Canis lupus familiaris: one gene and its partners. The protein of the gene in region 3 interacts with the protein of the main gene of each other region in a pairwise test. Links are inferred from orthologs where the notes say so. Each region holds a gene or a part of one and is shown on either strand. Other genes may lie near its edges. The genes, in order: KCTD6, LAX1 and GRB7.

What was found.
Region 1: the proteins of GRB7 (region 3) and KCTD6 interact in binary tests that used the Homo sapiens proteins (3 or more experiments, as listed by UniProt). The two-hybrid records come from large-scale screens. The link is inferred for Canis lupus familiaris from reciprocal best matches to the Homo sapiens genes GRB7 and KCTD6.
Region 2: the proteins of GRB7 (region 3) and LAX1 interact in binary tests that used the Homo sapiens proteins (3 or more experiments, as listed by UniProt). The two-hybrid records come from large-scale screens. The link is inferred for Canis lupus familiaris from reciprocal best matches to the Homo sapiens genes GRB7 and LAX1.

Annotation. Positions count from the first base shown.
Region 1 is NC_049241.1:32,430,892-32,441,554, forward strand, and holds the start of KCTD6 (BTB/POZ domain-containing protein KCTD6), read right to left. Parts: upstream 6,979-10,663; 5' UTR 6,929-6,978; intron 1-6,928. Other genes in the region: PDHB (pyruvate dehydrogenase E1 component subunit beta, mitochondrial), read left to right, coding at 7,447-7,488, 7,572-7,625, 9,197-9,304, 9,396-9,458, 9,559-9,594, 9,996-10,281. UniProt on the Homo sapiens protein: Probable substrate-specific adapter of a BCR (BTB-CUL3-RBX1) E3 ubiquitin-protein ligase complex mediating the ubiquitination and subsequent proteasomal degradation of target proteins.
Region 2 is NC_049259.1:1,022,666-1,033,125, reverse strand, and holds the start of LAX1 (lymphocyte transmembrane adapter 1), read right to left. Parts: upstream 6,825-10,460; 5' UTR 6,583-6,824; intron 6,359-6,582; 5' UTR 6,275-6,358; coding exon 6,180-6,274; intron 3,250-6,179; coding exon 3,137-3,249; intron 2,709-3,136; coding exon 2,598-2,708; intron 1,820-2,597; coding exon 1,734-1,819; intron 1-1,733. UniProt on the Homo sapiens protein: Negatively regulates TCR (T-cell antigen receptor)-mediated signaling in T-cells and BCR (B-cell antigen receptor)-mediated signaling in B-cells.
Region 3 is NC_049230.1:22,697,675-22,708,155, reverse strand, and holds the start of GRB7 (growth factor receptor-bound protein 7), read left to right. Parts: upstream 1-3,778; 5' UTR 3,779-3,990; intron 3,991-4,158; exon of another isoform or gene 4,159-4,259; intron 4,260-5,299; exon of another isoform or gene 5,300-5,561; intron 5,562-7,944; 5' UTR 7,945-7,949; coding exon 7,950-8,101; intron 8,102-8,206; coding exon 8,207-8,360; intron 8,361-8,546; coding exon 8,547-8,703; intron 8,704-8,830; coding exon 8,831-8,952; intron 8,953-9,041; coding exon 9,042-9,119; intron 9,120-9,425; coding exon 9,426-9,563; intron 9,564-9,903; coding exon 9,904-10,014; intron 10,015-10,197; coding exon 10,198-10,296; intron 10,297-10,481. UniProt on the Homo sapiens protein: Adapter protein that interacts with the cytoplasmic domain of numerous receptor kinases and modulates down-stream signaling. Promotes activation of down-stream protein kinases, including STAT3, AKT1, MAPK1 and/or MAPK3. Promotes activation of HRAS.

The DNA of each region.
Region 1 (10,663 bases), on a different chromosome or scaffold from region 3:
AACCACTGAGCCACCCAGGTGCCCCTGTGTATTATATTTTGGTACAGGGTTTCTCACTTTTTGTAACCTGTGAAGAAAGATAAGATTGTTTTCATAAAAATGTATTAGTAAGATACCATAGAAACTGGAGGCATTGTTGTTGATAAAATAATAATAATCACTAGTATGCCAACTATCCCTGGAAACAAAGCATGTCTTTTCTTCTTCTTCCTGAATGTAACAGAAGGAAAGTTTCATTCACTGAGACCTTACACATGAAGTTTGAATTCTGTTGTGATCACTTTCTTAGAAGAGGTTGATAGACACTAAGCATATGGAAAGGTGCTCAACATTGTTGGTAACCAAGGAAATAAAAATTAAAACCACATGAGATATAAACATACACCAAACAGGATAGCACAATCTTAAAAACTGATATCATCAAATGTTGGCAAAGATTTGGAGCAATTGAAACTTGCTCATCTTGGTGAAACAAATATAAAATGGTAACACCACTTTGGAGAATTGTTTGGTATTTCCTGTAAAGTTAAACATATACCTGCTCTACCTATGACCCAGAATTTCACTCCAGGAGAAACAGAAACACAGGCCACATAATGACTTTTATATGTACATTCACAGCAGCTTTACCCATAATGTCCTCAAACAAGAAGCAGCCCAGGTGTCCATCAACAAAATGGGTAAAAAAACAACAAAAAGGAGTGAACTGGGTCATGATTCTAAAATTTATATAGTAAAGTAATAGAACTAGAAAACCAAAATGATTTTGAAAAAGCATAATGTTATAGGAATCCCACTACCCTATTTTAAGAATTATAATATACTTACAGTTATCAAGACAGTATGGTATTGGAGGAAGAAGGACAGAGATAGATCAATGGAACAGGATAGACTCCAGAAATAACACCCACACGAGTTTGCCTAAATGATCTTTGACAAACATGCAAAAATAATTCAATGGAGAAAGTAGTCTCAACAAATGGTATTGGGGTAATTGGACATACTTAAGGAAAAAAAAAACAAAATCTCAATCTAAACCTAAATCTTAGACAAAAATTAACCAAAATAGATCACAGATCTAAATGGAAAACATAAAACCATAACACTTTTATAAAAAAGAAGAAAATCTTTGTATGCTGGTGTTGGGTACAAATTTATCAGATATAATACCAAAAAGCATAATCCATAAAAGAAAAAAGTTGAAAAATTGGACTTCATCAAAATTAAAAACTTTTGCTCTGTGAAGTATCTTACAGGATGAAAAAATGTCTCATAAACTGAAGAACATATTTGGATATCACATATCTGACAAAAGACTTGGATATAGAATCCATAAACAGGGATGCCTGGGTGGCTCATTGGTTGAGCATCTGCCTCCTGCTCAGGGCATGATCCTGGGGTCCTGGGATTGAATTCCACTTTGGGCTCCCTGCAGGGAGCCCACTTCTCCCTCAACCTATGTCTCTGCCTCTTTCTCTGTGTCTCTCATGAATAAATAAATAAAATCTTTAAAAAAAAGCTCTCTTTCTCCCTCTCTCTCTCTCTCTCTCACACACACACACACACATACACACACCTATTAGAATAAACAAATTCAGCAAATTTGCATGATATGAAATCACTCAAAAGTCATTTGTATGTCTATACACCAACAATGGACAATCTGAGAAGGAGATTGAGAAAGCCATTCCACTTATAATACTATTAAAAAGAATAGAATAATTAGGAATTAACTTAACCAAGGAGGCTAAAGACCTAAACACTGAAAACTACAAGGCATTGCTAAAGGAAATTAAAGAAGATACAAGTAAATGAAAGACATCCTCTGTTTATAGACTAGACGGCTGAATATTGCTAATGTCAATACCACCTGAAGCAATCTACAGATCCAATGCAGTCCCTATCAAAATCCCAATGACAGCGTTTGCAGAAATAGTAAAACCTATCCTAAAATTCACATGGAAACTCAAGGAACCACAAGGGGCCAAAATAATCTTGAAAAAGAATTAAAAAGCTGGAGGACTCAGCTTCTGATTTCAAAACTTATTACCACACTATACTAATCAAAACAGTGTGGTACTGGGGTGCTTGGGTAGCTCAGTCAGTTAGGTGTCTGACTTTTAGTTTTGGGTGGAGTCATGATCTCAGGGTCCTGGGATCAAGCCTTGCATCAGGCTGCCTGCTCAGCAGAAAGTCTGGCTGTCTCTCTCCCTCTGCTCCTCCCCTGCCCTCTCTCTTTCTCTCTCAAATAAATAATAAATAAATAAAGTCTTAAGATAGGGGATCCCTGGGTGGCGCAGCGGTTTGGCGCCTGCCTTTGGCCCAGGGCGCGATCCTGGAGACCCAGGATCGAATCCCACATCAGGCTCCCGGTGCATGGAGCCTGCTTCTCCCTCTGCCTGTGTCTCTGCCTCTCTCTCTCTCTCTCTGTGACTATCATAAATAAATAAAAAAAATTAAAAAAAAAAAAGATAAAACAGTGTGGTACTGGCATAAAAAGAGACATAGAGACTAAGAAACAGACTAGAAAACTCAAAAATAATCTCTCCCATATATGGGTCAGATGATTTTCAACAAAGGTGCCATGACAGTCAACAAGGAAAGGACAATGTTTTCAATAAATGGTATTTGAAGAACTGGATAACCACATGCAAAAGAATGAAATTGGACCCCTACTTTACACCATCTATAAAAATTAACTCAAAATGGATCAAAGACCTAAACATAAGAGTTACTAATATTAAACTCTTAGAAGAAAATATAGGAGAAATGCTTCATGATATTGAATTTAGCAATGATTTTTTTTTTTTTTTAATTTATGATAGTCACACAGAGAGAAAGAGAGGCAGAGACACAGGCAGAGGAGAAGCAGGCTCCATGCACCGGGAGCCCGACATGGGATTCGATCCCGGGTCTCCAGGATCGCGCCCTGAGCCAAAGGCAGGTGCCAAACCGCTGCGCCACCCAGGGATCCCTGATTTTTTTTAAAAGATTTATTTATTTATTTATTCATGAGAGACAGAGAGAGAGGCAGAGACACAGGCAGAGGGAAAAGCAGGCTCCATGAAGGGAGCCTGAAGGAAAACTCCATCCCAGGTCTCCAGGATCACGCCCTGGGCTGAAGGCAGGCGCCAAACTGCTGAGCCACCCAGGCATCCCTAGCAATGATTTCTTAATTATGTTAAATCAGAAACAAACGGAGACCAACCTTGAAAATTCCATGAACCGACAAAATCAGTTTAAGCATACAAACACAGCTTAATTTAGCTTAAGCAAATTAGCTTGCAAGGCTAACTTGATCTGGGTAATTTCTTACTTGTACCCCTATAAATGATAAGCAAAACTTGAAGTGTTTCCCAAGGTTAATATGAAGTAATCACTGAAAATGTGATATCATAACCAATCACCATGAAGAATAAACTCACTGCTTTCTCACTATATAAACTGCTCTATTAGCAATATACTCCTGAACCTCACTTCATACTTTGGTTTGAATGTTCCTAGCCTACAAACTGTCTTTTTGGTCTGTGCACAATAAGTTTTTACTAATTACTACCTCAGTGATTCATTGGTTTTACTTGGGCTATTTTGAATCTTTGACAGATATACCAAAAGCATAAGCAATAAGAGAAAAAATTAAAATAAATAAAAATAAAAATAAATTAAAAAAGAGAAAAAATAAACTGGATGTTATCAAAATTATAAACTTTTGTGTAACAAAGAACACTATTATTAGAGTGAAAAGGAAACCCAAGGAATGGGAGAAAATATTTGCATAACATATATATTTGATAAGGGATTAATATTCAGGATATACATAGAACTCCTGTTAATTCAACAACAAAACAAGAACTCAGTTGAGAAATAGGCAAGACTTGAACAGTCATTTCTCCAAACATACAGATGGCCAAAAAGCACATGAAAAGATGATCAATATCACTAATCATTAGGGAAATGCAAATAAAAACAAAGATGAGATACCACTTTACACATATTAGGATGGCTATTAGCAATTAAGCAGAAAATAGTAAATGTTGGTGAGAATGTGGAGAAAGTGGAAACCTTGTGCATTACTGGCGGGAATATAAACTGGTATATCTGCAATGGAAAAGAGAATGGTTATTCCTCAAAAAAATTAATCCAGAATTAACATGATCCAGCAATGCCACTTCTAGGTTATACCCCAAAGAATTAAAAGTAGGGGCTCAAATAGGTATTTGTGAACTAATGTTCATAGCAGCATTATTCACAAATCTAAACATTGAAAACAACCAAGAGGTCCATCAACAGAAAAATGGATAAACAAAATGGGATATATGCATACAATGGACTATTACTTAACCTTAGAAAGGAATGAAATTCTTTTTTTTTTTTTAAGATTGTATTTATTTATTCATGAGAGACACAGAGAGAGAGAGAGAGAGAGAGAGAGAGAGAGAGGCAGAGACACAGGCAGAGGGAGAAGCAGGCTCCACGCAGGGAGCCTGATATGGGACTCAATACCCGGGTCTCCAGGATCACACCCTGGGCTGAAGGTAGCATTAAACCGCTGAGCCACCGGGGCTGCCCAGGAATGAAATTCTGATACATGCTACAATATGGATGATCCTCCAAGACATTACAATAACTGAAACAAGCTAGTCACACTCACTCACACACACAAATACTGTATGATTTCACTTACATGAGGTAGAGCAGTCCAATTTATACAGATGGAATGGTCATTGCCAGGGCTTAGCGGAAGGCGGAAATGGAGAGTTACTGTTTAATGAATAGTTTCCTTTTGGGAAAATGAAAAGGTTCAGGAGGGGTACCTAGCTGTAGAGCCACCTGTAGAGCGTGCAACTTACGATCTCAGGATCATGCCTGATCCTTATCCTAAATTCATGCCCCACACTGGGTGTAGAGATTATTTAAAAGTAAAAAGAAAAGAGAGAAAGTTCTGGAAATGGATAGTGGTGGTGATTGAACAACAATATGCACATATTAAATGCCAATGAACTATATGCTTAAAGTGGTAAATTTTATGTGATATATATTTTACCACAATAAAAACCAATCTAATTAGAATACGAACAAAAGAACAGACACTTCATCAAGGATGGATGGCAGAAAAGCATATGAAAAGATGTTTAATAATTAACCATTAGAGAAATGTAAATTAAAGTCATGAGGGACACTGCTACACATGTATTACAATGGCTAAAATAGAAAATATTGATAATATCACACACTGGCAAGCATTTAGTGCAACTGGATGTCTCATACTTTGCTGGAGGTCATGTAAAATGGTATAGCCACTCTGGGGCAGCCTGGGTGGCTCAGTGGTTTAGCGCCGCCTTCGGCCCAGGGTGTGATCCTGGAGACCCGGGATCAGTCCCATGTCGGGCTCCCTGCGTGGAGCCTGCTTCTCCCTCTGCCTGTGTCTCTGCCTCTCTGTGTCTCTCATGAACAAATAAAATCTTAAAAAAAAAAAATAGTATAGCCACCGTGGAAAAACACTCCAATATAATCATACTGCTCGGTATTTACCTGAAGAAATGAAAACTAATGTTTAAAAAGCCAGTGTTCATTGCAGGTTTATTGGTAATAGCTAAAACTGGATACAAACCAAATGTCCTTCAAGGAGTGAATGGATAAACATGCAACCACTTAGAGATATAAAGAAACGTTGATACACGCAACAACTGGAATGGATTTCAAGAGCATTAGGCTGAGTGGAAATAGCTAATCTCCAAGAGTTACATATTGTACGATTCTGTGTTGAAATATTCTTGAAATAACAAATTATAGTGATTGAGAACAGATTAGTGGTTGCCAGGAGTTAGGGGTGGAGGAGGTAACAATGAGGTAACAGGAGGGAGGTGCTTTGTGGGGATGGAACAATTCTGTATTCTGGCTGTGGTAGTAGTTATGTGAATCTGTACGTCTAATACAATTCTATAATACTACACTCCTCCTACCCCTGCCAGAATGCATATAAAAACTGATGAATGGGGGATCCCTGGGTGGCGCAGCGGTTTGGCGCCTGCCTTTGGCCCAGGGCGTGATCCTGGAGACCCGGGATCGAGTCCCACGTCGGGCTCCCTGCATGGAGCCTGCTTCTCCCTCTGCCTGTGTCTCTGCCCCTCTCTCTCTCTCTCTCTGTGACTATCATAAATAAATTTAAAAAAAAAAACTGATGAATGCTGTATAAAGTCTCTACCCGAGTTAAGAGCATTGCACCGTTATCAATTTGGGGGATTTGACAATGTACTATGGTCATCCAAGATATTGGGCAAAGATAGTTGAAGGTCACATGGATGCTCTTTGCACCAGTTTCACAATTTCTTGTGACACTTAAACTCTTTCAAAAGAAAAGAAAAGAAAAGAAAACTTAAAGAAAGAAAGGAGGGGTGCCTGGCTGGCTCAGAAGAGCATGGGACTCTTGATCCCAGGGTCATGAGTTTAAGCCCCAGGTTGGGCATAAAGAATATAAAAGAAAAAAAAAAAAAAAAGAAAAGGAATAAAGTATTGATACACTTAACGACATGGATGAATCACAAAAACATGTTGCTGAGCGAGACGCAAGAATGATAGAATTCCCTTTACGTCAAGTTCTAAAACAGGCAAATTAAGTTACGGTGATGGCGATCAGATCTGTGGTTGCCTGTGGGGTGATGTGTGGGGAACGATCGGGAGGAAACGTTGAGGGAACTTTCTGAGGTGGTGGGGGAATGTGCATTTTACTGTGGTCGAGGAAGCGAAAAGCTCTCTTTAACACATTTCGCTTGAAATGACCAACCAAAAAACAAAAAAAAAGATTGAAAATTCTGGATGAAGGACTTTCTGACGACTGACAACCCGAAGTGACTTGAGGAAAAGTGGAGGTAACAGTCATCACGCGGGAGGGTTCCTGTGAGAATTACAGGAGCTGGACAGCACTTACTACGATGCCCGGCACACAGTAGGCGCTTCATGCCTCGATGAACACTCCGGTTCGCATTCCAGGGAGCAACAGACGGACAGCACGGTCCGGCCCGGGGACCACCGGGCTCGTTCAGAGCGTGCGCAGGCGACACTTGGCGCCCTACGGGTTTCAGTGCCCGCAAAAGGCTGACCCAACTCTGAAGGTCCCCGCAGCCTCAACCTAACGTTCCTCAGAACCTGCCTTCCGGGCACCGCGCCTCAGGCAGCACCGCTTACAGACGCGTCCCGCCGCGCAGCGCGCACCGCAGCAGCCGCCCGCTCCCGGGAAGTTGATTGGCCCCGGCCCCAGAAACAGCGGTAGTACCGCCCCACGCGCCACCTAGGCCCCGCCCCTCGGCCCCTCACCCGGCAGCGGATGGGCGGGGCACGCAGGCGCCGCGCGCTGCCATTGGCCTGAGCTGGCGCGGGAGGCGGAGCCTGAGGCGACTGCGGTCCTGCGGTGTTGTCATTCGGCGGCGGCTGGAGGACACGGTCAAGATGGCGGCGGTGTCTGGCCTGATGCGGAGACCCCTGGAACAGGTAGGCAGCGGCATGCGTGCCTCCGCGTGGTCTCTGCCCGCCTTGCGCCCCCTCTCAGCGTCCTCTCTCTCTCTTTTCGCCAGGTGTCGGGGTTGCTGAGGAGGCGCTTCCACCGGACGGCGCCGGCGGCGCTGCAGGTAGGTGGCCTGGGCGCTAGCCCGAATCCCGGGAGGGACGCGCCTGCGCCGTGGGGACAGGGACGGCACGGGCCCTGAGGTCCACGGGTTCCCACATCCTGCGTGGGACTCCGAGTGCCTCTGTTGCGACCCAGCGCCGGACACACCAGCAAGTCGCCCCGGCCAGGCTCACTGGAATCTGTGGGCGATCTGAGGAAACTAGACCTCGCGCTTCCTCCCTCAACCGCCCCATTTACATTTTTCAAGTAGAATATACATAACCAGATTTACCATTTTAAAGTGTATATTCAGCGGCAGTACTTCCGTTTACTATGTTGTGAGACCATGACCACCATCGGTCTTCAGAACTTTATCACCATCACACACAGAAACTCTCCACCCCTTAAACACGAACGTCCCATTTCCCTCTTGCTCCCGGTAACCTCTTTGGCACTTTCTGTGCCTTTGAATTTATCTATTCTAGGTGTGTCCTGGAAATGGAATCCTGCAGTGTTTGTCCTTTTATATCCGGTTTATTTCACTTAACATATGTTTTCAAGGTTCATTCATGTTGTAGCATGTGTCAGAATTTCATTTCTTTGTTTAAGGTTGAATAATATTCCATCTTATGCATATATCACATCTTGTTCCTCCATTCTGTCTGTTGATGGACATGTGGGTGTTTTCACCTTTGGGATTTGTGAATAATGCTGCTAAGAACACTGGTGTGCAAGTATCTGAGTCCCTGCTTTTATTTCTTTTGATCATCTCTAGAAGTGGAATTGTTGGATCATATAGTAGTTCTGTGTTCAACTTGAGGAATTTCCTACCCCGTACCCCCTCCTTTTTTTCTTTTTTCTTTTTTTTAACTAGAGGACTCTCAATCTGTCTAGTAAAATAACTTGTAGATTCTGAAGGTAGTGTTTGGAAGTTCCCAGTACCTAGTGAGTGCTCAAAACATAGTTTTATTTAGGCTTTCTTAACAGTTTTCTGTCCCATACTACACTGACTGTGGAAATAAAACAACTGAATAGAATTTTTACTCAGGAAACTTGAGCTGGTCTGGCCAGCAAACAGCTTTTGTTAAGTTTAGGTGCACATTAAGAAAAGCATTCAGTATTTTCATTAACAAATTCAGCCAAAGACTGTGTATGAAAATGTTACTTTTAGAATTCTTTGAACTTTTTTTTTTTTTTTTAGAGATTTATTTGAGAGAGAGAGAGAAGGGGCACAAGCAGGGGGCAGAGATAGAGGGAAAGGGAGAAGCCGATTCCCTGCTGACCCTGCTGAGCAGAGAGCCCACTGCAGGGCTCAATCCCAGGATCCCGGGATCATGTCCTGAGCTGAATGCAGATGCTTAACCAACTGAGCCACCCAGGTGCCCTCCCCTCACCTTTTATTTTCATTTTTTTAAAGATTTTATTTATTTATTTGAGGGGGGGATTCTTTGAACTTTTAAAGAGAAGCCTGTCCTAGCGATAGTTTTCATACCGTATGCTGTAGGCAGCCTAGTAATTATAAAAGGAGAGAATCTCAGTAGTATCTGAAATAATCCTGTAGCTTATTGGCTGTTTTCCCCATACCTGTGACAGGTGACAGTTCGTGAGGCTATAAACCAAGGTATGGATGAAGAGCTGGAAAGAGATGAGAAGGTATTTCTCCTTGGGGAAGAAGTTGCCCAGTATGATGGTGCATATAAGGTAACCCAAGATATGTGAAAGCGATATAAATTGAGGTGGCTGTTTGCCCCCATATACACTTAAAAGTAATGAGATCATTGTGTAATTTTAGGTTAGTCGAGGCCTGTGGAAGAAATATGGCGATAAGAGAATCATAGATACTCCCATATCTGAGGTGAGCCTTCCATCAGGACGCAGACTTTTCAGGGGCATGTTAAAGTGTACACTGTTCTGATTTTTATGGATTTTCACTTGTGTTTGTGTTTTACTTCTAGATGGGCTTTGCTGGAATTGCTGTGGGTGCAGCTATGGTGTGTAATCCTCTTTATGAATCTCATCTAAAGAGATTTTTTTTTAATAATTAAAAAAATTTTTTTTGTATTTTTTATTGGAGTTTGATTTGCCAACATATAGTATAACACCCAGTGCTCATCCCGTCAAGTGCCCCCCTCAGTGCCCATCACCCAGTCACCCCATCCCCCCACCCACCTGCCCACCTCCCCTTCCACCACCCCTTGCTGGTTTCCCAGAGTTAGGAGTCTCTCATGTTCTGTCACCCTCTCTGATACTTCCCACTCATTTTCTCTCCTTTCCCCTTTAATCCTAAAGAGATTTCTTTTAACATGACCTTTTAAAAACATTGAAGTTTGGAGTGGTTGCCACTTTTTATTGCTTTTTAGTTTTTCTAAGATCTCTGTTTTTTATTTGACAGGCTGGGTTGAGGCCCATCTGTGAATTTATGACCTTCAATTTCTCTATGCAAGCCATTGACCAAGTTATAAATTCAGCTGCCAAGACCTACTACATGTCGGGGGGCCTTCAGCCTGTGCCTATAGTCTTCAGGGGGCCCAATGGTGCCTCAGCAGGTGTGGCTGCCCAACACTCACAGTGCTTTGCTGCCTGGTATGGGCACTGCCCAGGCTTAAAGGTGGTCAGCCCCTGGAATTCAGAGGATGCAAAAGGACTTATTAAATCAGCCATTCGGGATAATAATCCAGGTCAGTAGAGTGAGCCTTGGGTCTCTTTTGAACATTGAGGAACTAAGTTGAAATCTTTGCCTGGAAGGAAGCCGTTTAAGGGTTCTAGTTAGGCTTAGACATATAAAATGTTATGATTTACAGATACAGCAAAGACCATTAAAAAGGTGTTGTTTTTGCTTTTCTGACTATATGGGGCCTATTAGGTACCTACAACACCATTTTAACTACAATAGATAAAATTAGGACTGACCAGACTATAGATGCCAGTACCTAAACCATCCTCTCAGGGCTACTGGACACAATAGATAGGAGGCTTCCTAATCTGCACAGTGAAACTTTGCACAAAATGAATGATAGTTATGTATATACATTTGGTCATGTAGTTAGTTCTGTTAAACAT
Region 2 (10,460 bases), on a different chromosome or scaffold from region 3:
AGCAGAAATACAGGTGAAACCTTTCTACTTCCCCACCCAGGACCACTATCTAATAGTTCCTTCACTTTGTTCTTTACCTTGTAGAACATGTCTAAGTTGGAGGTCTCCAGTTGCAAAGCTTTAGATCATGTGCAGGTATGAGTAGTGTGGGCTAAGTTTAGGGAACACAAGTGTAAATGTGATGATAAATTGCTGCTGGTTTTTGGTCACAGTGTGGGTGTTCAATGGGGAGTCTGTAGAGGGGAATAGTATGAACTGGAGAGAGCCTGCTACCTCTGAGCCTTGAGAGGCAATAGAGTACAGTGGCTAAAAGTAGTGACTCAGCCTTAGACTCAGGGTGGAAATCCCAGCCTCGCTACTCTGTGCCGAGTTTGGGCAAAGTTACCTAATCTCTTTGTGCCTTACCTCCCTCGCAAATAAAATGGGGAGAGCCATAATATCCACGTGATATGGTTTTTGTGAGGAGTAAGTGTGTGACTATGCATAAAGTGTTGGGAATAGTTTCTGGCACATGGAAGACACTAACAAATGGTTGTTATTATTAAAGGGGCACCTGGCATACAGACCCAGCCCATTGTGACCATTTAGGGATGCCAGTCTGATGTTTCTAGAGCTTCTGACTTTTCAAGAAAAGCTGGACATCCAGATTTTAATGTGAAATCTTTTAGATTTTTAAATGTTGGCAACTGGTTCCAAATGTTCTTCATCTACTACACAGTCCGTAGCCAAACATGTGTTGTGGCCTCATATCAGTTTGGGATGGAGTGCTAGAACTCGCTTTGGCAGTGACGTTTCGTCCTCCCTGCACATTATCAGCCATGCAAGCTTGGTCCCCCAGGAGTTTGTAGAGGTGAGAGCAGAGCCCAAGGATGGGATATGTGGGAGGAGCACTAGAGGTGTCCAAGTGCTAACTGAACGTAAAGCTCTGGGTAGTGAGAAGCTGGGTAGCAGCAGGATCAGCAGCAGCGGTAGGACTGTGTTCATCTGAGATGACCACAGAGCCAAGGGACCGGTTCTTCAACAAGCAAGTGAGAGCTTATCTGTTGGAGATGAGGCCCCTGAGCTTCCAGGTCCCCCCTTTCCTGTCTTGGGTGTCTCTGCCCCACAGCGTTGTGGGGCTCCTCCTTGAGGGCTGCCTTTAGAGCCAGGTCACAGGACACACTAGGTCATTGTTATTCATTGTAGTGTTCCCATGGTAACCTCAAAAATACCCCACGTTTGATCAAACACTTTCTACACCAGCTACAGTCCTCAATGACTTACAAACATACCTGCTATTGAGGATAATTGAAACCATTTGCCATGGGCCCCAGAAGTAATTCCCAAAAGCAGGGTTTTAAGGATGTTTCGAGCATCCACAGCATTGTTGGAATATTTGTATCCTCTCTCGAGGTAGGATACAGCATTGGAAGGGACAATACTCATTTGAGTGAGCTGTTACCTTTGTTAAAACAATACATTTCCATTCTAACACCGTATCTTTGAATACATGTGCCCTGGTATCTCACTTAAAATCCTGAACAACTGTTCCTACCTTTCATGATTTTTGTCCCTGGGCAGTAGGGAGGTCCCTGAGGCTTGTCTTCCCAATTTATCAATAGGGCCACAGGGCAACTGCCAGGGGACTTGTTGTTTGCCAGGAAAGGAGATCTGTGACCTGAACTTATTTACCCCAGTTCTGCCCGAGAAATGTCCTCTCTCCCAAGGGGCTTGTCCTTTCCCTTGACTCTTACCACAGGATCAGAAGGAGGGCTATCATAATTTCTGGAAAGGAGGCTCTCGGTACTGAAAATATGGTTACTCCTTGACTGCCGTCTCCCTGAAAGGACAGAGAACAAATCCTGAAGATAGCCAGCCAGTCCCCTGAGCGCTTCCACCTCCATGGTCCCCGCATCGTGGTTGATGTGGGTTTGTGTGGTGTCGGTATTTGAGGCCGGTGTGCTGTGGTGAGAGGGGCAGAGCTAGGGAGAATGATGTGCTCTGAGGCCTGGGACTGTCCTCTGTTTTTAACAAGGACCAGAGGACACTAATTAGCACAGAGTTTAGAGCAGCTGGGGAGGAGGCTCCTGTAATGCCAGAGGCCATGCTCTTCTTCTGTATGTGTCCCCCATTCCTGGACATACCCATCCAGGACTTCATATCAGGACAAATAAAAAAAAAACCCAACCCAGACACCTCCCAGCTCCCTTTTTTTTAGCTCTGTAGGCCCCTAATGGAGTTACAGCCTGCTTCTGACTATCCCGTCCTCCTCCACGCTCCCTGAAGGGCAGAAAGGTCTGAAAATGTAAAGAAAGTTGCTTCTGAAAAAAAAAAAAAAAAGAAGAAGTTGCTTCTGGGGCAGCTGAGCAGTTTAGTGCAGCCTTCAGCCCAGGGCGTGATCCTGGAGATCCAGGATCGAGTCCCACGTCAGGCTCCCTGCATGGAGCCTGCTCCTCCCTCTGCCTGTGCCTCTGCCTTTCTCTCTCTTGCTCTGTGTCTCTCATGAATAAACAAATAAAATCTTAAAAAAAGAAAAAAGGTGCTTCTGGGTATGAGAGGTGCATTCTGGATGAAGTTCAGTAACATTTGTGCTCTGCAGATTAGAAAGAAAAACCTACCCAGCTCTCCTTGCCTCTGGGGTAAGGAGTCATAAATATTTTTGGCTCCTTGTCTGGGTCGAGACAGAGAAAGTAAGGGCGTGATGGTAACTCGGAAGTAAGGAATGTGTCCTGCAAGACAAGGAGAGAGATGGAGATCTCAGTGGGGGCAAGTGGTACCGAATGCAGGGACCCTTAGGTGTGAGATAGTCCCTGAAAATATTCCCCATCCTCACTATGTATCATAAAAAATACATTTTCACACTTGCCCAATTCCATTTGAGCCAGAAGACTGGGAGAAGAAGCAAGTGGGCAAGTAGGGGGTGGTGGCAAAGGGTGGGCATAAATGTCTCAGGGCAATGACCTGCCAAGTGGAACTCTGATTGGCACTGAGCCTTTCAGGGGCATGGCTTAGACTCTCAAAAGTGAGACAATGGCCAGTGTGTCAGGGAAGAACAGAAGAGAACAGAGTTTATGTCTGGAGAATAAACTTGGCCTTGAATGCCAGGCTAGATGGTGGATCCTCGTGTGTCTCCACTTGGGACAATCAAAGGACTCACGCTGCTTCTTCCATTTATTCCAGTTCCATAGGCTGTAGAAGATCAGAGTGGTCAGTAGGACGGCAAGGAATCCTGCAAACCCAGAAAATATGGCTCTGCTCTGGTCTTTCTCTCTGTGGGGAAAAACAAGGGCCATTCTCCAGCTGTAGGAGGCTGAGAAGGCTGGAGAAAAGGTTTTCTGCAGGAATTGGAGCCCGAGGACTTGGAATGGGAGCCGGCCGGAAAGCTGAGGTGGGTAGGCTGTGTGGTTGAAGAGAGTGTCTTCATTGTGGACAGAAGGAAGCTGGGCATTACCCCTTTGGAAGCCCTACTGGATGCCAGGGGTTTGGGTGTGTGTTAATCTCTACAACATCTCATCTCTCCTTGTGGCCAGAAACCTGAGATTTAGACTCAGAGAGGCTGAGTAATATATCAAAGATCACACAGGTGGGAAGGAGCAAAGATGGAACGTGAGTCTAGGTCTGTTGGGGCCCAAAGATTGTGCGCTCTTTCCAGTGTACCACACTGTCCTCCAAACTGGCAAAATCAGGTTCACCTGCCCCTGCTTCCTCCTCATTCCCTACTCCTTGGTGTCCTGTCTTGTGTGGAAGAGGGAGCTGCTCTGGGACGGAGTCCGGCTTGCGGACATTTGAACAACCCCCACGTATAGACTTGCAGAACTGGTCTCCAACAATACTTGCTGTTTTGTGGAATGTGACCCACACAAATGCAGGAGTGAGTTTCTGCTGCTTGTGGTTCCCTGACAGCACGGGGTTGCTGCTCTGCTCTGCCTACTGCAACAAGAAGAAGCCAATGGAGGATACAGCAGGAATGGCCAACAGACCCAAATGTTAGAAGCCAGGTCAGCTAGTCCTAGGCTTGTTTACCCAATTCTCCTGGACATTTCTGCTAAACTGCCCAATGGACATCTCAAACCAAATATGTCTGAAACAGAATGCCTGTTCCTCTCCCATAAGCCTGCTTCTCCTCTGGTGTCTCCCATCAGCTAGTGGTTGGAGCTATCCTTGACTGCTCCTTTTCTTTCACACCTCAATTATTCAGTCAACCAGAAAATTCCATCTGCTCAGCTCTGGGCATCTTTCCCAAACCCAATCACCTCCACTCCTCCATTGCCACTCCTTGCTTCCACATGGGTCTTTGCAGTAACCTCCCTAGTGCGTTGCCTTGCCTTCCCTCTTGAGCCCCACATACTAGCTTCACACATGAGCCTGCATGATCCTCCTCACAGTAAACCAGATCACATCCCCTCTCTTCCTGTGACCCACATGACTTTGATCACACTTGGGATAACATACACAATCCCTACTCAGTGAGGACTTCATGGCCCCTTATGGTCTAGCCTTTGCCCTCCTCCTCCTCTTCCTCCTCCTTCTTCTTCTTCCTCCTCTTCTTCTTCTTCTTCTTCTTCTTCTTCTTCTTCTTCTTCTTCTTCTTCTTCTTCTTCTTCTTCTTCTTCTTCTCTCTCTCTCTTTTAAAAATATTTATTAATTGAGGGATGCCTGGGTGATTCAGCGGTTGAGCATCTGCCTTGGGCTCAGGTCATGATCCCGGGGTCCTGGGATTGAGTCCCATAACGGGCTCCCTGCAGGGAGCCTGCTTCTCCCTCTGCCTGTGTCTCTGCCTCTCTCTGTGTCTCTCATGAATAAATAAAAATAAAATCTTAAAAAAATTATTATTATTATTTTTAAATTATTATTTGAGAGAGAGAGAGAGAGGAGTGGTAGAAGGAGTGGGAGAGAGAATCCCAAGCAGGCTCCAAGTTGAGCATAGAACCGATGCAAGGCTAGATCCCATGGCCCTGAGATCATGACCTGAGCCGAAATCAGGAGTTGGACACTTAACCTCCTGAGCCACCCAGGTGCCCCTCTGCCTACCTTCTGACCTCATTTCCTACCACTTTCCTTCTGGCTGGTCCCTGTCCGTGCATAGCACACTGCCACCTCAGACCCCCAGGTCCTCTCCCAGGGTGGGGGTGGGGGGGCAGGTAGCTCCATCTCTCATTTCCCTCAAGTCTCATCTGAAATATCACCTGCTCAGACAGGCCTATTACTCCCAGTCCCCTTAACTCTGTTCTGGTTTTCCTTTATACACTTAAGACAGATTGACATTTTATTATATATCCATTTGTTTGTCTATATCTGACTTTCCTACTTGACTGTAAGCTCCAAGAAGCCATGGACTTGTCCATCCTATTTACCTGGTACCTGGAACAGTGCCTGGCACTTAGCAAGGGCAGGGTGAATATTTGTGGAATAGATGAGTGACTTAGTAAACACGAATGAACATAGAAGTAGTTATCTGGGGGGGCCTCAGGGTTCTGACAGCTTCATAAATTCAGTCCCCATCCATGCTCCTTCCACCTGCAGGTGACATATATGTGTTTGTCATGATAATACATTTATTTCCCTAAACGACAGTGATTTGAAATTTATTATTGCTGAGTTGCACTGTTATCACAGCACTGAGATTCATACCTACAAGTGTTGTTAAAGTTTCAACCACTCTTGGACTTTTTATGTTTGTTAGTATGATCCTGCAAGTTTTAGCAATAAAATGTATAGCCATGCTGAGTTCTATGAGATTTTATATCCTAAAGACATATCTTTATACATCGATGATTGCATTTTCCATTCATGGAAAGTTTTTAGGACCTAAAAATACATCACTGAAAGAAAACAGGCCTGTTGTTTCCATCATGGTGGCTCCTAATTTTTGAGGGGGAAGGAGGAGAGTGGTTGTTGGGACCTGATACAGGGAAGATTGAGGACAGTGACTGGGACCTCTGGGAGGTAAGAAATCCACCCAGGCCAGACAGCAAGGTCTAAGGACCCTCTCCCTGCAACTTCCTTTTCTCACCGATACCCATTCCTTCCCTCCCAGCAGTCCTGGGCAAGCTTCTCTAAGCCTAGAATCTGGTGGTCTAAGGGGACCTGAGGGCAGTCGTGAGGGCTAGGAGCACTGCTGGGGTAGAAGTGCCCGGGGTCGGCCAGGGCTGTCTGTCTAAATCAGGGGAGGGTGGAGCTCACCACCCTGAGTTACTCACCTGTCCAGGCTGCCGGCAGTTACCTGCAGAGTCCTGGCTTCCAAGATCCTCCCTCTGATTTCTGAAATGGTCGGGGTGATCCCATCCATGGTCATAGAAACCTCTCTGGCTTCAGCTTCTTCTTCTAAGCTTTCTCTCAGTTATCCACAGCTAACACATGCCACTTCTCCTGGCTCTTCCTAAGTGACCATCCATCAGGAGAAAAGGCGAAATTGACTTGCGTTTTGCATACCATCATAACCACTTTTTTAAGTAGATAAGAAGACTAGAAATCCTCCTCATCTCCATGTTTTCCAATCTTTCTAGAGCTTTCTTTCCCCCAACATTGCGTCTACCTGGCGTCTACCCCTGAAATGTTAGGCTGCATTGAGCCCAAACACAAAAACAACACGTTTGGTTCTACCTGGATGTGGCTACAGTGTCCACTGTGGGAAGCACGAACTCAGCCTGGTGCCATGCGCCCCAAGAGAGGTGGCTCAGGGAGATGCTATGCGCTCAGCCTCCTGGTGAAGTGTGAGGAGTGTAGGGGGGAAACTGCCAAGAGGAGAGAGAGAGAGAGAGAGAGAGAGAGAGACTCCGTGAGAAGCTCATCCCCTCCCAACCCCCAGAGCAGAGAGAAAAGAGCAAACATTTGCCAGAATGGAAACAGAGAGTCGTCACAGGAAACGACAGCACTGATGTGCTAATGAGGCATGGGGCACAGGAAATGCTGCTCAGCTATAGCAAGATAGAGGAAGACATGTCTGCACCCCCTGTTCCCTGGGTCGGCTGGGTGTGTGGGGGGGGCTGTGGGGGGGCACTGTGGTCTGTGGGGAGAGTGACTAAAGATGGGGCAAGGTGGTGGGGGATCCATGATTGTTCCTATGGGTTTTTGGGACGGGCTATTTTCATAGACACTTCCTGGGTGATTTTGACAAAGCTGGTCTGTGTTTTCCATTTTGAGCATCTCTGGGGATTACCCTCTGAACGGAGCCAAGGCCAGGTCAGTGTTGGCCATTCCTTCCCGGAGCCCTGCCCTCCGTGGCCCCTGGCGGCCGGCTCTCTGCAGGACTCTTCTGGAGGTCCATCCCCTTGTTGTGCACCTGTCTCGGAGGCCAGAAATCTCATTCCTGCTCTTTTCTCAGACTTAGACAATTGTTCAGATTTGTTTCTGGCTCCCTCCTCTCTCCCTTATCAACTTCCCAAAAGTCTCAGCACCTTGGGAGAGTCCAAAGAGAAGGGACCAGGCCACTAGGACTTTTACGGGGATGTGAGGGGCCTCTGACCTGGCTTTCCACAGGGAAATGGACTCCCTCCCCATGGCAGGGAAGACAGCCAGTGCCTCCGCACCTCCCATCTCTTCCCTGTGGGCACTAAGGTCCCAGCTCCTGGGGACGGGGGTGGCTGTCTACCCTGGTCTGCACGTCCAGGTGCCCCCAGAACCCCAGAGGAGAGGGTGCAGGTGGCCTGAGTGGCTCTCCCAGGAGCTCTGCCCTCTGGGCTCTGGCTGCCATCCCCCCACCTGGCCTTACCTGGCAGGAGCACAGGTGGTTCAGGGACAGCTGGTTCAAGAGCTGGACCCTGGGGCTTTGCCCGCTTGTCCTTGGGAAAGGGTCTGAGTAGAACTAGGGCTCCTCAGGAGAAAAAGACCTGTCGCTCCAGGCCCTGCGGCCAGGACTGGAAGAGCGAGCGGGATTCCCCAGGCCTGTCCTGAGCTGCGCGCGGCGGGTGGCCGCAGAGGATGGCGTGGGAGCTGGGAACTTGGAAGGCGGTAGGAGAGGGTACAAGAGAAGGGCCGATAGAACCAAACCTCACGACCCTGGCTGCTACTTAAAAAAAAAAAATAATTTTTTCTTTTTAAAGACATTCTCCTGTGTGATCATCTGAAGACCTTGTTTTTTTCTTATCTTATCCAGAGTGTCTGAGTCAGACTAATCTTTCCTCTGGTTTCCTGACTGTCTCCCCCACCGGCGGCCTCCCCACACTTGAGGGCAACAGTCTTCTGAAAGGGGGTTCCACAGAGCGAGCTCCAGGTTTCCAGACCTGCCTGCACCCTGCCACCTGCTCTCCTTTCCCTCCTGCTTGTGCAACTGCCAATCAGACCCACAAACACTAAATCGGTGTGTGAAATTATTCATCGTAGTAATGGAAGAAAACTGCTCCTTCCGGGGAAATAGGGCACATGTTTTAAGCCTGATGGCTCTGGTATTTCCCTTTAACCACTTTTAATGATTTCAGGGTTGAATGTGACATGTGATCCCAAAGTATTAAGATTAGGGGTGCCTGGGAGGCTCAGTCGGTTGCACATCTGACCCTCGATATCAGCTCAGGTCTTGACCTCAGGGTCACGAGTTCAAGCCCAGCATTGGGTTCCACTTAAAAAAAAAGTATTAAGATTATTATTATTATTATTTTAAGTATTAAGGTTATTTTAAAAAAATATTTTATTTATTTATTCATGAAAGACACAGAGACACACAGGCAGAGGGAGAAGCAGGCTCCTCACAGGGAACCCGATGTTGGACTCAATCCCAGGACCTTGGGATCATGTCCTGAGCCAAAGGCAGATGCTCAACCACTGAGCCACCCAGGCACCCCTAAGATTGGTTTCAAACGGACACTTATGCATCCAAGCAAAACCCTTTGAATGGAAGGGATTGACTCTGTACTAACTCAGTGGTGTGGTTTTTAGTATTACTAAAAACCTTCCAGAATCTTCTGGAAAGACAGAAGCACTGTGTTAAGAGCATCGATACAAGATCAGATCCTAAATGACTGCTTGGACAGGTCATCTATAATCTTTTTGGGTGTTTCCTTGGATGTAAAATAGCAATACTACAACATAGGTAATGCAATTATGAAAATTGCGCTGACAATGAAAAATGCTTTGCTGAGGACTTGGCATGTGCAATCTCATTAAATGGGGGGTGCTATTCTGTGATCATCTTATTATATATTAGGCTCATTTCTTTATACTTAATGGATCGCCTCCTTTGGTCTTCGTCTCTTCCTCTCTTGATGCTCAGCCTACCTTTCTACCATGTGTTCCTCTATTCCTTGAGTGCAGATTTATGGAAAGTCTCCCACCACATGGCACTGGGCACACCGGCTTTGTACATGCGGTCTGACCCACATGCAGCGGTGAGCCTCAGCTGGCACCCCTAGCAGGCACTCTGTACTCCATGCACGCCCCACTCTTGTCACTTCCATGCTCTGGGCCTTTGCACTGATTCATTCATTGTGACAGCAGTTTCTTTCTCTCTCTCTCTCCCCCTCATAAAATTCCAATAAGATCCATTTGAAGAGTTTATACTGGTTATTTCCGGGTTGTGGGGCTTGAGGTATTTTGTTACTTTCTTCATTGGACTCTTAATGCTTGAATTATTATAAGGATAAAGTGTCATTTTTATAAAAAAATAAATTGGTTATTGAAATATATGTCATAAGAGTCACCACCTCCGTGAAGACTTCCTCTCCTGGAACTGGGTTTGGCTCTTCTGGGTCGCCATGGCAGCAGGCATGATAGCTCTCGATTGCTGGGATTAGTTGTTTAAGTGACTGTCTCCTCAAGTAGACTTTGAACCCCTTCAGGGCAGGGACTTTGTTTTATTTATTGCATCTCTGACACAGTGCCTGACCATCAGAATCAAACGGGGCCTCTGAGAAGTTCTCTTAGGTGCTTATTGTGGCTGTGAATTCATGGCCTAAGTGTATAACAGGGTGAGCTGTTGAGAAAGAAATGGGTGTCTAGTATTTTCTCCTGTTGCGTGCTCAGCAGCGAAGGAAAGGGAAAAGCAAGCCCTTGTTATCCCTCGAAGGAAGGGCAACCTGGCTCCTGTGTTGGGTCTCCTTTGCCCCAAGGAGGGGTTAATGATGGCTTTCATGTTTCTGGGCCAGAAAAATGCCAAAGTTGTCCTGTGTGAAAGACAACTCCAGCCAGGCTTTGTTCTCGAAGGCTTAGGGGCTGAGGCAAACCACAGCAGGGTGACAGCTGGAGCCTGAACGGTGGCAATCCTCCACATTCCTTATTCACTTGCTCCTATGCTGGAGGCCGCCTCCAGTCCAGGCAAGTCTGAAATTGAGAACAAAGGCTGCAAATATTTTCCTTTTAAGTTCAAGTTGAAAGAGAGCAGGATTAGGACAAAAAGATTTAGAAAATATGGAAATATTGCTCTGCTCCCTGCTCCCACTCTGCCCAAGGCCCTTGAGGAGTGAGAGGAGAATTTGGAAGCAAGCAGTGTGACTAGAGGACAGTTTTTACCCACTTAGGCCAGGCCTTTGTGGATGAGGTGGATTGGCATG
Region 3 (10,481 bases):
GTTTCCTCCCCATCTTTACCAAGTTTTTTTTTTTTTCTTTTTTTAAGATTTTATTTATCTATTCATGAGAGACACAGAGAGAGAGAGGCAGAGACACAGACAGAGGGAGAAGCGGGCTCCCTGCAGGGAGCCCGATGTGGGACTGGATCCCAGGACTCCAGGATCAAGCCCTGGGCCAAAGGCAGATGCTCAACCGCTGAGCTACCCAGGGATCCCCTTTAATAAGTTAGTGATGTCTTTTGAAAGTGCAAAAAATTTTAATTTTGATGACATCTAATTTGCTGAATTTTTTTCTTTTGTCACTTGTGCTTTTGCTGTTGTATCCAAGATCTCTGCCTAACTTAGGTCACAAAGATTTTTTTCCCCTTGGTTTCTTCAGAAGTTTTACTTTAGCCTTTACATTTAAGTCTATGATTTATCTTGAGTTAATCTTTGTAGATTGTGTGAGATAAGGATCTAAATTCATCTTCTGGAATGTGGATAGTTGATTGTCTCAGAACCATTTATTGAAAAGACTAATCTTTCTGCCACTGAATTGTCTTGGTATCTCTGTCAAAAATCAATTGACCAGAAATGTCAGGGTTTATATTTGGACTTTTGAATCTATTCCATTGATCTATAAACCTATTTGTTGTTGTTGTTGTTGTTTTCTTTAAAAATTTCAGATATAACATACAGACAATAGAATTGGCCCTCTTGGGATCCCTGGGTGGCGCAGCGGTTTAGCGCCTGCCTTTGGCCCAGGGCGTGATCCTGGAGACCCGGGATCGAATCCCATGTCGGGCTCCCGGTGCATGGAGCCTGCTTCTCCCTCTGCCTGTGTCTCTGCCTCTCTCTCTCACTGTGTGCCTATCATAAATAAATTAAAAAAAAAAAAAATGAATTGGCCCTCTTCAGTGTACCCTTCTGTGAGTCCTACTTAACACACTGTTGTATATCTACCACCATGACAAAGATACAGAACAGCTCTACTACCGTCTCACAAGTCCCTGTGCCCTTTGCTGTTAATTCCTATACTCCTCCCTGCCCCTAGATCTGTTTTTTTTTTTTAATATTTTATTTATTTGAAAGAGAGAGAGAGAGAGAATGAGCAGGGGTGAGGGCCAGAGGGAGAGGGAGAAGCAGGCTCCCCACTGAACAGGGAGCCCCATGCAGGGCTAGATCCCAGGACCCTGGGATCATGACCTGAGCCCAAGGCAGATACTTAATGAACTGAGCCACACAGGTGCTCCTGCTTTCTGTCTTTATAGTTCCACTCCCTTCATTAAAAAAAAAAAAAAAAAAAGAAAGAAGAAAGAAAGAAAGAAAGAAAGAAAGAAAGAAAGAAAGAAAGAAAGAAAAAGAAAAAATATTTTATTTATTTGAGAGAGAGCAGAGAATACAAGCAGGGAGTGGAGGTGGGAGAGGGGCAAAGGGAGAGGAAGAAACAGACTCCTCACTCAGGGGGGTAGTTCCACCCCTTTTAGAAAGCCATATAAATAGAATCCTATAGCACTCAGCCTTCTGAATCTGGCTTCCCTCTCTAACCCTATCCTTTAACATCTAGAGCGATCTTTTCAAAATAGAAATCTGCCTGCTTCTCTGCGCCTCTACTTAAGCCCAGAGAGACACCACAGGGTCTGGCCTCAGCCCATAGTTCCTGCCTGTCTGGACAGACAGGATGGATGGCTCTCAAACCTGGTTTAACCACCTGAGGGCTTGTCAATACCACACATTCCTGTGTCTGGGCCCCAGAGACTTGAGATTCAGTAGGTGGGGAGGGGCCCAGGGATCTGTTTTTTCTACAAGCCTAAGGAGATATGGCAGCAGGTGGTCATAGGCCACACTCAGAAACATGGCTGAGTTCGAAGCACTTGCCTTTCTCCACACCTGCTTGAGTTTGCCAGTGTGGCCTCCTCTCCTTCCTCAACCCCACTCTGCCTCCCTCATGCCATGTCCCCTCCCGCTAAGGGCTTTGGCACTTGTTTCCTCATCATGAAAGGTACCCTCCTCCCCACATTCCCACCCACCCATCTTTACTTTCTCCCTATTCCAGTTTCTCCTCTGCTTGCTCCTCACTTCTACCAAGAAAGCTTTCCCACCTCTCTGGGTGAGTCATTCTCCCAGATACTTGTCACCTGTCATTTCTTATTTTTGTGTGATTTTTTTTTTTTTTTTTCTTTTGAGAGAGAGGAAGGGCAGAAGGGGAGAGAGAATGGGAGAATCTGAAGCAGGCTCCACCACCCAGCAGGGAGCCCAACACGGGGCTTGATCTCACAACCCTGAGATCATGACCTGAGCCAAAATCAAGAGTCCATCACTTAGCTGAGTGAGTCTCCCAGGTGCTCCTCATGGGATTCTTTGATTAACATCAGTCTCCCCAACAGGGCTGCATGAGGATAATGGCAGGGTCGGTTTTTCCTGCTCTTCACTATTTCTCTAGTACCAAGCATGGGGCTGGCATATAGTAGGTACTTAACAAATATTATCGAATGAAAGAAGGAATAATTGAGTGTATTGTCTCCTGTGCTTTGTAGAAGCTGCTCCTTGGCCCAAGTGACCTCACCCCCTTCCCACTTTTTTTTTTAAGATTTTATTTATTTATTTATTTATTTATTTATTTATTTATTTATTTATTTATTTATTTATTTTTTATGATAGTCACACAGAGAGAGAGAGAGAGAGAGGCAGAGACATAGGCAGAGGGAGAAGCAGGCTCCATGCACCGGGAGCCCGACGTGGGATTCGATCCCTGGTCTCCAGGATCGCGCCCTGGGCCAAAGGCAGGCGCCAAACCGCTGCGCCACCCAGGGATCCCCTTTATTTATTTATTATGAGACACATACACACACAGAGGCAGAGACACAGGCAGAGGGAGAAGCAGACTCCATGCAGGGAGCCCAATGTGGGACTCGATCCAGGGACTCCAGGATCACTCCCTGAGCCGAAGGCAGGCACTGAACCGCTGAGCCACCCAGCTGTCCCCCCTCTCCCACTTCTTTGCTTGGTCCACTCATACTGTTTTTTCGAGGAAAACCCCATTTGGAGAAAGTGGAGGCTAAAGCCACTCCCAGACCTCTTATCACCCTGAAGACTGTTTGTTTACCCACCTGTCACCCACTTCAGGTTGGGAGGTGGCCACTGCCTTGGATCTCTGGCCTTCCAGGCTTGACCCTTGGGTTTGCCTAATGTTGAAGCAGAGAGCTAAAGTGATCGCTCAAAGGGGAGTCTTCTGGCACCTGGCCAGATCTTTCCCCAGATCACTCCTCTCACCATAAGACTCTGCCGAACCCCTTCGATTTCAGATGAAGCTGAGACCCCTGGACTTTGCAAAGATCAGCAATCATACTCTGGGTGCCTCTGAGGGCCAGGGTGCAAGCTGGGTGGTAGCACTGTGGCTGGCAGTCAAGGGGCAGACCCTGTTGCTGGACACCCTTCTGGCTGGCTTCCCTCTTTTGCTGAGTGTTCCTTGCCCCATCAGGTGGGATCTAGAGTCGCAAGCAGCCCCCCTCGTGTGGCCTACGAGCAGACCCCATTTGGTGAGGAGCATGAGGAAGGGTGAGCGCCTTATCCCCTCACCTTCCAGCTCCCAGTCCCTCCCTCCCACGTCACGAGGGCTCTAGATCTTTGCTCTTGAGGCTTCTCAGCTCCGCTGTCTTCCCTGCCTCTCCCCTGGCACCTGCTACCGGGCTGAGAAGGGCAAAAACAATCCCAGCCAGCGTCGAGTGTCAGGGAGTCCCCGCCCCTCCTCCTAGGGTTCCTCCTCCCTAGCTTCTCCCCCAGGCCCCGCCCCCACCTGCCCAAGATAATTTTAGTCTCCTTGGGCCAGGAGCCTGGACACACAGGGCTCTCCCTCCCCCAACCCTCACTTCTACTCCAAAGTCGGGACACCCTCCTAGCACCTGTAGAGAAGAGGGAGTGGATTTGAAATCAAGCCCAGGTATCTGGGGTCCCTAGACAGAACCAGACTTCGGACCCCGTGTCCTGCTACTCCTCCTGGGGCTCCTCCAGGTAAGGTGACCAAGATCGGTCCCAGCCGACAGCCTGCCCCCACCCCCAGCCGCAACAGGGCCCCAGGCTGTGCCCGTGTCAGGGCCAGGGGCTGGCAGGTCGCCCAGGTGGGCGGACGGGCGGCCGCCTGGCTCCCCCTCCTGTCCCCCCCCCCCCCCAGTGATGTCAGGCCAAGGGCGGGCGCAGGAGGGGGACAGGTAGTTAAGGGCCTGGCGTCTCCCTCCCTAAACCAGTGGCCCCAGCCAAGTGTTCCTACGTCCAGGGTCCAGGTAAGGACCCAAGAGGGGCACTTCATCTTGAGGGTGGGGGGCAGCGGCAGGTCCCGGAGTCACTATGGAAAGATCCCGCCTCCTGCTGTGTTACTCTGGCCGCCTCGCTTCCTTTCTCCAGTCTCCCACATCCCGCCCCTACCTCACCATCTGCCTGTCTCTCCCTGTTTTCATTCCCTGTTCTCATTTCCTCCCCTTTGCCGGCCTCCCTCTGGCCCCCGGACAAAAAGCAGCTGATGGGGATGGGGAGGGAAGATCCGATCCTCTCCTCCGGGAGACGCCGCTTTCCCGCTGAAATTAGCCCCTCCCCACCTGCCCGGGAGGAGAGCGAGGAGCGGGGGCCGGAGCCCGAGGGCTGCCCCGAGTCATTCCTTGCTCAGCCTCCTGTTACCCGTTTCCCAAGGCTCCCAAGACTGCCGTCTCCGCGGGGGTGGGAGGGTGGGGGTAGGGGGCGCCCCCAGTGAGGAGGGCAGCAGAGGAGAGGCATCCATCCTCTAAACTGCTAGAGCTCGGCCTCGGGATTGTTTGCCGGCTCAAAGCACCGGGTCCCGCCCTAGGAAGGGAAGGTGGGGGCGGGGCAGGCCCGGGGGTCCCTCCTGGCGTCGGGATGAGGCTCGGAGGCTCGGAGGCTGGGGGGCCGCAGCGCCGGGGGGCCTAGGAAGGTGTGTGTGCGCGTGTGGGGGCGGGGGGCAGTGTTTGGAGAAAGCCCCGAGTCTCGGTCTCCCCGACACCCGAAGGGGATGGAGAATGCACCTGTCCGCCCTTGGCGGGCCTCCCCCCCCCCCGCCAAGAATGGCCCCTCTGGGTGGGCGCGTCCTGGACTCTGCTCCCCCTCTCCCGCCCCCGGTCCTGCTGGGGAGCCCTCCGTGAAGGCAAGCGCCTGTAATGATTAACTCCGCAGACACAATCTAGCATTCTTCCCAAATTAAACTTTAAGAAAGCTCACCCCCCCTCCTTTTCCCATTGGGTGTTTTTTCCCCCCAGAGTGAGGGAGTGGGCGGGGCCTCGGTCCTGGGCCCTCCCTCGGCTCCGGGTCACCTGGGGGTTTCCCGCCTCCTCGCTTGGGCCCTCCGGCACCCTCAGAACCCCGAAGGCTGAGCCCTCCCTCCCCATATACATCCCGCCGGGGGCGGGGCGTGGAGTGCTGGGCCACGCGGGGGCTTCCCGCCACCTGCTGGTCCCCAGCCCAGGCCTCGGCCGCGCTGGCCCCTCCCCCTCCTGGTGGCCTTGTTTTCTCTGGGCCCTAATACTGGGCCCTGCCACCCGCCCTTGGGGCCCGCCAGGTGGGGCAGGATTCAGGAAGTAAACAAGGAGACTGCAGGCTGGGAGGGCGGGCCGGAGGGTGGGGCCGCAGCCGCGGGGCAGGAGAGGCCGTTGGGGAAGCCTCTGTTTGGAGTTGTAGTGGGGGGGGCTGATAGATTTGGGGGGTCGGTTTCTTCAGCAGAAGCCGCTGGGCCTAGGGCCGCAGTTTGAATGGTTCAGGTCTCTTGGGAGGGGGTTCCCGACCCCGACAGCTAGGATCTGGTTCTCTTCCCATCCCATCTATTTGGTGCTGACCGCCCCATTCTCTTGCCTTAGAAGGGTCTGGAGGGCAAGGTGGAGGGATCAGGAGGCCAAACCCAAGTCTTCAGTGGCCCTCCAGCTCTCTAAGGCCAGACTCCCATCCAATGCTGATTTAAATCTACTCCGGTCACCCTGCCCAAACACTGCCCCGATTCCTCTTCCTTCTGGGATGGAGTGGGACCCTACTTTGGTCTCTGGCTTCCCTGCAGCCTCCCCCCACCAACCCCCTGTCTTCCTGGAGTGAAGTCATCAGGACTAGTTGCCAGAGGAGAGATGGGATGGGAGTGGGGACATTGTGGCTTGTCGATATTCTGGTGTCTGTTGACGCTCACTGGTGGATGTGTCTTGCCCTTCCCCAAAGGACCCTGAGCGCCCTCCCTGCCACTCCCTCCTGGCCTTTCCTTGTCTGCCTGTCTGTGTCTGTCCTCTCAGGTGTCTTGCTCCTCCTGTACCTGTAGTACCCCTCTGGCCAGGACACCGCAGAGTGTGTTAGGACCCTCATCCCCCAGGGTTGATATAGATGAGTCTTCTGGGCCCCCTGAGTCCTGGGTGCCAGGGGTGGGGCAACGCAGCAGCAGAATGAAAACCTGGTAGGCCCCAGACGGGATAGGGAGCACTGCGCGGTTTCTTTGGGTGAGTGAGGGCATCACTGGGAGGTCGGCTCTAATCCAGATGGGCCTTTGAATCCTAGCCAGGCCTTTTTCTCTCCTTGGGAGAGGGGGCTCCTGGGCTGGGTGGAGACTGAGGGACCCCAGGGCAGGTTGCAGGTCCCACCCAGACTGGAGGCGGGCCAAGGGTGGGGAGGAGAAGATGATGTCAGAGGAGCTGCGGGCCCCACATCTCCACCCCCCCCCCCACCTGTCCCTGCCCTGAGCCTCCCCCATTCCTCCCAGGCTGTCAAGGTTGGGGGCGGGAGGGGCCGGAGGTGGGTTGAGGCAGGGCTGTTTGTGTTTCTCCTAAGCCAGGAAGTCGTGCAGATGAGTCAAGGTTGAATAGAGAGCCCCAGGCAGTGCTGTCCCGCCCCACCCTGACTCACCTGTCCCCCAGATCCCCTCACTTAAGGGTCAGGGGCCTGCTCCATTGCCAGGTGCTGCAGGCTGCCTCAAGGCACTGGCCTAGGTCTCAGGTTCTCCCAGGTCCTCCCAGGTTCTAGCCCTGCCAGAGGGGTCTGTGCTGCCTCTGTCCCCAGTGGGCATCTTTGCCTCTGCTCTCCTGTCCTCACTTGCCCTCCTCTGCAGCACCTGTGGGTGCTAGGACGTGGGTGAGACTCTGGCCCTGCCCGGGAGTGCTGGGTGGCTCCAGACCAGTGGGTGGACAAAACAGGTGCGCTTCATTGGCACAGAGGCCAGTGCAGAGAGGGAGCCCTTCAGTCTGAAGGCGGAAAATCCAGGAAGGCTGCTCAGAGGAGGTGACTTTGGCATTGGGGCTTCAGGAAAGTTGGGCAGGAGGAGGAGTCTGGAGAGGGCACGCAAGGTTTAGGGGCTGCTGGGGCAAGGGTCCCCAGGCTAGTCCTGTCTGAGTCTGCCTCCTGCCCTCCTGGTTCCTGTCCTTTTCCACCTCCTTCTCCCCTTCTGGCCATCACTCAGCACTTGGGCAGGCGTTGCCACAACAGGCTCTGGCAACTAGATCTGGCAACAAAGCACTGGAAAAACCCGGGGCAAAGCCCAGAGGAGTGAGTGTCCCATGCTCGGGGCAAGCTCAGAGACAGAGTCAGCCTCGACCGTATGTGGGTCATGGAGTCTGTTGCTGCTGCCCAGCTGGTGTGTGCGGGGGTACCCTCTTAGCTCTTCCCCTGAGCAATGTGGGGCCAACAGAAGAGCATTAGATTTGGAGTCAAAACAACAAAGTTCCATCAAAGTTCCACTCATTGACTCACCTGTGATGGGGGCAAGGATGCTTCCTTCTTAGGGACTTGATGTCCCCTTCTTGTAAATGGGCTCATGCTACCCTTCCCCAAAGGTTCCAGGGAAACTCCAGTTAGAGGGGGAGCAGTAAGGTGCCGTGTCAACTCGGAGGGGTACCTTTACAGCGGTGTGAAGTCTGGAGGTCTGGGTCCACTTGGCCCTTCTCTGCAGGACAAGGGCACACGAGCAGCTGCTTTCAGTCACCTCTTCTCCCTTAGATGTTATGGAGCTGGGTCTGTCTCCACCTCATCTCAGCAGCTCCCCAGAAGACCTGTACTTGGCTCCTGGGACCCCTCCTGGGACTCCCCCACCTCCCGATGCTCCTCTGCCTGGGGAAGTGAAGAGGTCCCAGCCTCTGCCCATTCCGACCAGCAGGTACAATGCGGTGATGGAGCTGAGAAGGGGCTGGTGGGGGGGGGGGGGCAGTCAGTGTTGGGTAAGTCAACAAATTCTCTCCCCATCCCCCACCTCGGGCCACAGGAATCTTCTTCGAGAGGAAGAGCTACGGTCAACCTCTCTGCCTTCCATCCCCAACCCCTTCCCTGAGCTCTGCAGTCCTCCTTCACAGACCCCCATTCTTGGGGGGTCCTCTGGTGCAAGGGGGCTGCTCCCTCGAGATGCCAGCTGCCCCCATGTGAGTTGTCTTGGGAGAGAGAAGGCAGGGATATGGGGGTGCTATGGGACTGAGGCGGGTAGGGTGCCCCCTCCCTGGAGGGGGGAGGGAAATTCAGTCAGGAGTCCCTGAGGATATAGCAGGCAGGGGAAGGGAAATAACCCCCCTTCACCCTTCCTCAAGTCACCTGCAATTCCTGGGGTGCAGGTAGTAAAGGTGTACAGTGAAGATGGGGCCTGCCGGTCTGTGGAGGTGGCGGCAGGTGCTACAGCCCGCTACGTGTGTGAAATGCTGGTGCAGAGAGCTCATGCCCTGAGTGATGAAAACTGGGGGCTGGTGGAGTGCCACCCCCATCTAGCACTAGGTGAGTTGGGGTGCCAGGGGCTGTCTCGGGCAGGGAGGCAATGCTTCACACTTTGGGCTAGGCAGGTAGCCCCCCTGGGAGGCCTGTCTGGTGTCCGCTGACCACTGCTTTCGGCCCTTGACTCCAGAGCGGGGCTTGGAGGACCATGAGTCCGTGGTGGAAGTGCAGGCTGCCTGGCCCATTGGGGGAGACAGCCGCTTTGTCTTCCGGAAGAACTTCGCTAAGTACGAACTGTTCAAGAGCTCTCCGGTGAGTGTGTGTGAAGGGCGTCTGGGCACTGGGACACCCGGGCCCCCAGCCTGGGCCCATCGTCCCTGATTCCTGACTCTTCCCCCCAGCACTCCCTGTTCCCAGAAAAGATGGTCTCCAGCTGTGTGGACGCACACACAGGCCTATCCCACGAAGACCTTATCCAGGTAAAGGGACACCCCCATTCCATGGCATATTCATGATTCCCCAGGATCGCCTATTGCTTTTTTGGTCCTCAAGCATTGTGCCTCCCTCTATGTGGTGGGGAGCCTCGCACAGTCCCAGGTGACTGGACAAGTCCCTCCTTCCTGGCTGAGTGTCAGTTTCTTGGTCTGTGAAATGGAACAATAAATGCATGTGGAGCACCTTCTCTTCTGAAGCTGTGTGTGTGTGTGTGTGTGTGTGTGTGTGTGTGTGTCTCCCTTGTCTCCCTCTTGGCCTCTCACCCTCTTCCTGCTCTCTTCTGGCCTCAGAACTTCCTGAATGCAGGCAGCTTCCCAGAGATCCAGGGCTTCCTGCAGCTTCGAGGGTCAGGACGGAAGCTTTGGAAACGCTTCTTCTGCTTCCTGCGCCGGTCTGGCCTCTATTACTCCACCAAGGGCACCTCCAAGGTGAGGTCTTGAGGGTTGACAGCCTCTGCCCCTAGGATATCCCCTTCCCGGTCCTTCTAGGAGTTATCTGTTGTCTCTTCCCTGTTGGAACTCCTGGATCTTTCTCCCCTTGGGACCTGAGACCCTCAGCTGCTCCTCTTTCCCTCCTGACTCACCTACCCCAGGAAGGTAGTGGGAAAGGCAGGTGGAACTGAATCTGAGTCCTGGCTCTACTTCTATTTGCTGTGTGACCTGGGGCACTTATCTGCTCCTCTCTGAAATCTCCTCACCTGGCTTATGGGGACAATAGTAAGGGAATAGGGTCTGCCTGTAACAAGTCCTGCCTACTTGTGCCACATAGGACCCGAGGCACCTGCAGTATGTAGCAGACGTGAATGAGTCCAATGTGTATGTGGTGACCGAGGGCCGCAAGCTCTATGGGATGCCCACAGACTTCGGCTTCTGTATCAAGGTAAAGACCATGGCTGGGCCTGGGAGGGAATGGCAGGTACTCAGGGCCCAGGATCCTACCTAGGGCTTCTGATCTCCATCTGGGATACCCAGACTCCTCTCCCTGCACCTTGCCCTGCCCCACAGAGGCAGGCACCTGGTCCTAATGGAAGATATGGGACCAGCCGGTTTCCTCTCCCTACAGCCGAACAAGCTTCGAAACGGCCATAAGGGGCTGCGGGTCTTCTGCAGCGAGGATGAGCAGAGCCGCACCTGCTGGTTAGCAGCATTCCGCCTCTTCAAGGTGGGACTCTGGGAGGGGCATGGGGGGCTGGCCCCACCCCCTGGGCCCTCTGGCATGAAGGAGGAATTATAAGTCTCCTCTCAGGAATGAGGGGGTATTGTAGCCTTGCTCTCTCAGTATGCCTGGTCCAAGGCCAGAGTCCTGACTTTGGCTCCAGAAAGCTCCTTATCCAAGGCAGAGATACA